Sus scrofa: one gene and its partner. The main gene of each other region encodes a partner of the protein of the gene in region 2 in a complex. Links are inferred from orthologs where the notes say so. Each region holds a gene or a part of one and is shown on either strand. Other genes may lie near its edges.

What was found. Proteins that work in one complex are often made in the same cells at the same time.
Region 1: BUD13 (region 2) and RBMX2 share a complex: the UniProt entries of both Homo sapiens proteins name them as parts of the activated spliceosome. The link is inferred for Sus scrofa from reciprocal best matches to the Homo sapiens genes BUD13 and RBMX2.

What each region holds. Positions count from the first base shown.
Region 1 is NC_010461.5:106,879,530-106,883,281, reverse strand, and holds the start of RBMX2 (RNA binding motif protein, X-linked 2), read right to left. Parts: upstream 2,371-3,752; 5' UTR 2,336-2,370; coding exon 2,331-2,335; intron 2,137-2,330; coding exon 2,021-2,136; intron 1-2,020. UniProt on the Homo sapiens protein: Involved in pre-mRNA splicing as component of the activated spliceosome. As a component of the minor spliceosome, involved in the splicing of U12-type introns in pre-mRNAs.
Region 2 is NC_010451.4:44,148,308-44,151,959, forward strand, and holds part of BUD13 (BUD13 homolog), read right to left. Parts: intron 3,135-3,652; coding exon 2,364-3,134; intron 65-2,363; coding exon 1-64. UniProt on the Homo sapiens protein: Involved in pre-mRNA splicing as component of the activated spliceosome. As a component of the minor spliceosome, involved in the splicing of U12-type introns in pre-mRNAs.

The DNA.
Region 1 (3,752 bases), on a different chromosome or scaffold from region 2:
TATTCAGCAAGCATTGCTGGGAAACCTGGACAGCTGCATGCAAAGCAATGAAACTAGAACACACCCTCACACCATGCACAAAAATAAACTCCAAATGGCTGAAAGACTTAAATGTAAGACAGGACACCATCAAACTCCTAGAAGAAAACATAGGCAAAACACTCTCTGACATCAACATCATGAATATTTTCTCAGGTCAGTCTCCCAAAGCAATAGAAATAAGAGCAAAAATTTACCAATGGGAACTAATCAAACTGAAAAGCTTTTGCACAGCAAAGGAAACCCAAAAGAAAACAAAAAGACAACTTTCAGAATGGGAGAAAATAGTTTCAAATGATGCAACCGACAAGGGCTTAATCTCTAGAATATATAAACAACTTATACAACCCAACAGCAAAAAAGCCAATCAAGCAATGGAAAAATGGGCAAAAGACCTGAATAGACATTTCTCCAAAGATATCCAGATGGCCAACAAACACATGAAAAAATGCTCAACATCGCTGATTATAAGAGAAATGCAAATCAAAACTACCATGAGATATCACCTCACACCAGTCAGAATGGCCATCATTAATAAATCCACAAAGAACAAGTGCTGGAGGGGCTGTGGAGAAAAGGGAACCCTCCTGCACTGTTGGTGGGAATGTAAACTGGTACAGCCACTATGGAGAACAGTTTGGAGATACCTTAGAAATCTATACACAGACCTTCCATATGACCCCGCAATCCCACTCTTGGGCATCTATCCGGACAAAACTCTACTTAAAAGAGACACGTGCACCCACATGTTCATTGCAGCACTATTCACAATAGCCAGGACATGGAAACAACCCAAATGTCCATCGACAGATGATTGGATTTGGAAGATGTGGAATACTATGGAATACAATGGAATACTACTCAGCCATAAAAAAGAACGACATAACGCCATTTGCAGCAACATGGATGGAACTAGAGAATCTCATACTGAGTGAAATGAGCCAGAAAGACAAAGACAAATACCATATGATATCACTCATAACTGGAATCTAATATCCAGCACAAATGAACATCTCCTCAGAAAAGAAAACCATGGACTTGGAGAAGAGACTTGTGACTGCCTGATGGGAGGGGGAGGGAGTGGGAGGGATCGGGAGCTTGGGCTGATCAGACACAACTTAGAATAGATTTACAAGGAGATCCTGCTGAATAGCATTGAGAACTTTGTCTAGATACTCATGTTGCAAAAGAAGAAAGGGTGGGGGAAAAATGTAATTGTAATGTATACATGTAAGGATAACCTGATCCCCTTGCTGTACAGTGGGAAAAAAAAAATATTAACCCCACCTCACAATTGTTAAGGATTTCATAGGAAATAAATTCCCCTACGAATGTTTCCTTCTTCATCTGTAAAATGGGGATATTGGCACTTACCTCACAGAATTGTAATAAGAATGAAAATAAAACAATGGCTATAAAGTGCCTAGCACAATGTCTGTTGTAATAATCTCTTCGAATAAACTGTCAAATTACAGAATGTGACACAGTGAATATGGAAATGATGATGTGGCCATGGACGGGGAAATAAATTCTGCGTGAAGGGTAATGAAGGGAGAGGGAGTTGGCAGTAATACCGGATAGTGGCTGATACCAGGAGTTCTCAAACCCCACAGTTCTTGCTGTTCCACTTGCTAGCTATGCGACCTGAAGGAAGTCCATTAACTTTTCTGCATCTCAGTTTCCTTAGGTGTATAACTAGAGGACAAGAGGATGATAATAACAGTCTCTGAGAAACCAAACGGCACGATTCTTAGCACACTGAATGGCAGGCAGTACCTATCATGAACGCTGATTTGGCAGCGAGAGCAAACTAGAAATGAGCTAGAAAAGCGACCTGGAAAACGGATTTATAGGCCGACAGTGGAAGTAAATAAAAGTGGGTGATGAATGTCGGGAGGAATGATGGGCGGGAATGCTGAAATGTTAGGAGGCAGGCCAGGAGAGAATGAGAAGCCCTGCGGGAGAAAGATGTGGGCCTCACCTAGGAAGATCCAGGCGCTGTCCTTGTACTCGGAGTGCCAAGACACCTTCTCCGCCACCCCCAGCTGGACCTCACGCTCATTCAGCTCGTTGATCAGCTTCACTTTAGTTAAAGGGCTGCACAAGGGGCGGAAAAGCGGACAAGTAAGCGCGGCCTAGCCTGAGGTAAAGGAGAGCAAAACTGGGAGACTAATTTTCTAGTATCTGCGCCTCCCCCGCTCCTCAGCCTCACAAGTGCTCTACCACTCCAGCTTCAGTGAACTACCCCCGGCCGCCTGTCCCCTTTTCCCAAAAGGAACCTGAGGCCTTACTTCATCTCCGCGGGTTCGCCCTCAGCACCTAGGAAGCGACTTCCGGGAGAGGCTGCAAGACGCATGCGCGACCCGGCGCTGCGCGCCCATTGGTCTCAGCTGCGCGCTTACGCCGCGCCGGAAGAGCCGGGCCGCGCTGGGGCGTGGCGCCTGCGCACTACGTCAGTAAGCGGCTTCTCTTGTTCCGCCGATGTCGCTCTTTTTCTGTAGACCCTCGCTTCCACCGTGCTTGGAGTTGGACGAGGGTGCGAGCCTGGTTTGTTACAGGACTCCGAACTCCTAAACGATGCCTGGCATTTATTGGGTTAACTATAAATGTTTTTTGAAGGAAGACTTTGAGAGGTGCCTGATAACGGCGACTTGAGTCCCATCCTTCTCTTCCAGTGCAAATCCTCATTCTGTCCTTAACTCCCAGCCAATTACTCACACGCACACCGCCATGAAAGCATCCCTGTTCAGGAGTTACAGCAGAAATGTGAAAAAGCTGTGTGAGAGGGTAAATCTTTTTGTCTCAAATCGCACCGCATAGGCAACTGACCACTGTGCCTCCATAGGCTGAATTGAATACCCAGATTTGTGTGAATGCTGCTAACCGTTTTCCATAGTCTGTCTGCTACTCAAGCAGGAGGTAGGAATTGGTATTGTTAAATTAATAACTAACAGTTGAGCAGGTAATGATAGATTGTGTGCTAAGCAATTTACATGTATTGGCCCTCCTGTGAAGGCTTAGATACAATTATCCTCCCCGTTTCGTAGCAGAAACTGAGTTTAAAGGAGTTAAATAACTTGGATGGTACTCTGTCTCTATCCATCAGATCCACTTGATTTATCGGTCCTTACTGAGCATCTGTATTTGTCCTATACAGTAAGTCTGCAGATGGGAATGTAAGGTTGGGTTCTCTGCCTTCAAAGAGCTAATAATATCATTGAGGAGACAGGGCTTGATAGATTTGACTCCAGAAATAATCAGGAACCTGTAGAAGAGATGATGGCATGTAATGTGTGAATTAAGCCATTCTGAAGATTCAAATCCATCTTGCATGTGTCCACATCAATTCTGGCCTTAGACCATGCAAATTATGTCAAAGTCAAATTATGGGGCTGTATAGTTCTCTGTGTAGGCCTAGCTCACAGCCCCAGAAATTAAAAGCACTTTGATGATGGTGACAGTGACAACTGTACCCTCAATGGTTCACCATGTACCCAATGTCTTCCCAAGAAGCAGAACAGGCTGCCCACCAATGACAGTTTTTGTGTCTGTCCCCCTCCCCCACTTCCAACCCAGCTATTCATTAACTTTGTAGAATTACCTTGGCAATGAAAACTAAACAGTGACAGATTGCATACAGGTTTTATCTGCTCCTAGAAACCTTAGGTTGCTTAGTTGTAGGGTTGAAGTAGTCACTGCAAAGTGGTAAACTA
Region 2 (3,652 bases):
ATGTGACTGTGATGCTTCCTGGGTGATGAGCCTGTATGACATTTCCTATGTCTGGGGGAAGAGCCTAAAAATTAAAGAATATAGGCTTTAAGTCAGGCTAATGTTCAGCATTCATTTAGTCCTCCTGTGACAAACGATCACTAACCTAAATACAAGTACAAATGACATGGGAGAGAAAATCGAAATCAGAGACAACTTTTAAAACCAACAGGCAGGATGTGGGATTCTAGTCTCAAGTTATAATGACTGTGACTGGCATGTAATATCTCAACATACTCCTCTGTGCCATATTTATCCACACAGAGTGAGCAAAACAAACTGCACTCAGGTCTCAGCAGCATGGTAAAAGTTAAAATGGCCTAGAATATATTCTGATGTCCTCAGACTAAAGGATAACAATGTATCTGAATTTAAAAATTAAAACAGGGGAGTTCCCACTGTGGCTCAGTGGTAATGAACCCAACTAGTATCCATAAGGACATGGGTTTGATCCCTGGCCTCGCACAGTAGGTTAAGGATCCGACATTGCTGTAAGCTGTGGTATAGGTTGCAGATGTGACTTAGATCTGGTGTTGCTGTGGCTCTGGCATAGGCTGGTAGCTGCAGCTCCGATTCGACCCCTTGCCTGGGAACTTCCATATGCCACACATGTGACCCTAAAAAGCAAAAAAAATAAAATTAAAACAGTGCCTTGGGACAAAAGAGTAAACAAATCTCACTGCACAGGCCTGAGTTGTAGACATCACAAATCACCCCCAAAGAGTTCCTGCAGTGGTGCAGTAGGTTAAGAATCCCACTGCAACAGCTCAGGTTGCTGTGGAGGCACGAGTTCAATCCCTGGCCTGACACAGTGGGTTAAAGGATTCAGTGTTGCCATGCCACAGCTGCAGAGTAGTTCACAGCTGTGGCTTGGATTCAATCCCTGGCCTGGGAACTTCCACATGTCTTGGGTGCAGCCATTAAAAAAACAAAAGCAAGGAGTTCCCGTCATGGCGCAGGGGTTAATGAATCCAACTAGGAACCATGAGGTTGCGGGTTCGATCCCTGGCCTTGCTCAGTGGGTTAAGGATCCTGCGTTGCCGTGAGCTGTGGTGTGGGTCACAGACGCAGCTCGGATCCCGCATTGTTGTGGCTCTGGCATAGGCCAGTGGCTACAGCTCCGATTTGACCCCTAGCCTGGGAACCTCCATATGCTGCGGGAGTGGCTCAAGAAATGGCAAAAAGACAAAAAAAAAAAAAAAAAAAAAAAAGAAAGAAAAGAAAACAAAAGCAAAAAACTACAAATCACCTCCCCCAAAAAGCAATCTGCAACAGGTGTCAACAGTCCTAAAAGCATAGGACCCTGACCCTCTGACCCAGTAAATCAATTTCTACTTAATTTCTAAGGAAACATATTTGGAAGTACTTTGATTTCCAGGAGATCAATCTAGAAGTATTATTAAGGAAATAATCCAGAACAGGGCAATAGTTTATGCATAAGGATGTTGATTATAGAATTATAGAAGAAAAGGTGCAGAAACAACCTCAAATATGCAGTATTAAGGAAATGGTAAATTTATGTAACAGAATACCAACAAAAATTATATTAATGAGATATTTTATGACATGAGGAAGATAATGTTAAGGGAAAAAAAAAAAACAGACAAGATTACACATGCAATATGTATTTACTGCCTAGACAGACCTCGACCACATAAAAAATGAATAGAAAAAAAACAAAAAAAACTAAAAGAACACAGATTACAACACTAGCAGTGACTGCCTCTGAATGACAGAATTTTGTATGACCTTTTTCTACTTCTTTATACATTTCTATACATTCTGCAATGAATATGCAGTATTCTTATATGGGGTGGGGAGAATAAACAAAAGAATATATAAAACCCTCCTCTCTGCTACTATAAATTTTTAACTCTCCTCAGCCCAACCTCTCATGATTTCCCTCCAGTTTTGTTCGGTTTTTTTTGTTTGTTTGTTTTGTCTCTTGGCCTTTTCTAGGGCCACTTCCGCAGCACATGGAGGTTCCCAGACTAGGGGTCTAATTGGAGCTATAGCCGCTGGCCTATACTACAGCCACAGCAACTCGGGATCCGAGCCATGTCTGTGGCCTACACCACAGCTCACGGCAATGCTGGATCGTTAACCCACTGAGCAAGGGCGGGGATCGAACCCGCAACCTCATGGTTCCTAGTTGGATTCGTTAACCACTGTGCCACGACAGGAACTCCTCCCTCCAGTTTTTAAAACTTCTCCAATGCTCCATTCTCATTTCTAAAGATCACAAATACCTAAAAAGGAACTAAAAGGCCCAAAAGAAAGTGCCTAGGGAGTTAAGTCCTTCCTATGGACAGTCAAATGCTCACCTTTAGAGTCATGTTGCTTATTTCCAGAATGGGATTTTGCTTGCTTTTTTCGTGGAGGAGAGAGGTCTGAATCACACTCCTGCTTGCTGTTCTTTGGGAGTGATGGATGAGATGGTCCTGGCCCCTTCCAATGGGGAGAAGCTTGGCTAGACGCTCTTTCTGGGGCTGTACTGCTTTTGGTTCTGGGCAGTGAATGAGGGACACTAGAAGCCAAGTCAGGGGAATCATGACGGGCCCTCCTCAGCTGCGATGTGTCCATGGAATCAAGAGTCCTTCTAGGTTGAACTGTGTCAGGGGAGCGATTACGGGCCCTTCTGGGAGGAGAGATATCTGAGGAACTGCGGTGGGCTCTCCTAGGAGGTGATGGATCTGGTGTATCATGACGGGCTCTCCTAGGAGGTGATGGATCTGGTGTATCATGACGGGCTCTCCTAGGAGGTGATGGATCTGGTGTGTCATGACGGGCTCTCCTAGGAGGTGATGGATCTGGTGTATCATGACGGGCTCTCCTAGGAGGTGACGGATCTGGTGTGTCATGACGGGCTCTCCTAGGAGGTGATGGATCTGGTGTGTCATGGTGGACCTTCCTAGGAGGTGATGGATCTGGGGAATCATGACGAGCCCTTCTAGGAGGCGATGAATCTGGAGTGTCATGGCGGACCTTCCCCGGAGGTGATGAATCTGGGGTGTCATGACGAGCCCTCCTAGGAGGTGATGCATCTGGGGTGTCACGACGGAAATGTCTGTGTGAGGGCAGATCTTCATTGTGGCCTAAACACAAAGAGCAAAGAGTCAGAATCCCACAGATGCTCTGTTCACCCCCAGGAACCATAGTTTCAAAAGATGCCCCAGGAGGATACATCTGAAAACTACTCAGAAAGCCCAAAAGGTCTGTACAACTCTTACTTGGGGCAGTAAGACAGCACTCATGAATATCCTAAGAATAATCTCTCATATTTGCCTAACAAGTCATCAGTCTGTAAAGCATTTTAAATATTTTTCATGTTATATTTTGTTAGGTAAGCAAGGCAATTATCCTTGCTTAACAGACCTGAAAACAGAGACTCTAAGGGGCTAAGTGATTTCTTACCTGGGGTCACAGCTACGAAGAGAAAAGATAGGCTTGAACTCCAGTCCTCTAACTCTTAATCCAATGCTCTTCCACAAAACTGATTTGTACAGAGCTCCCCACTAGAGGCTCTTATTGATATTTAGCCTAGATAATTCATAGTGTGTACCCACTCTTCTTTCAAGAGGCAAATTGACTAAATCTGTGACACATCAAAGTG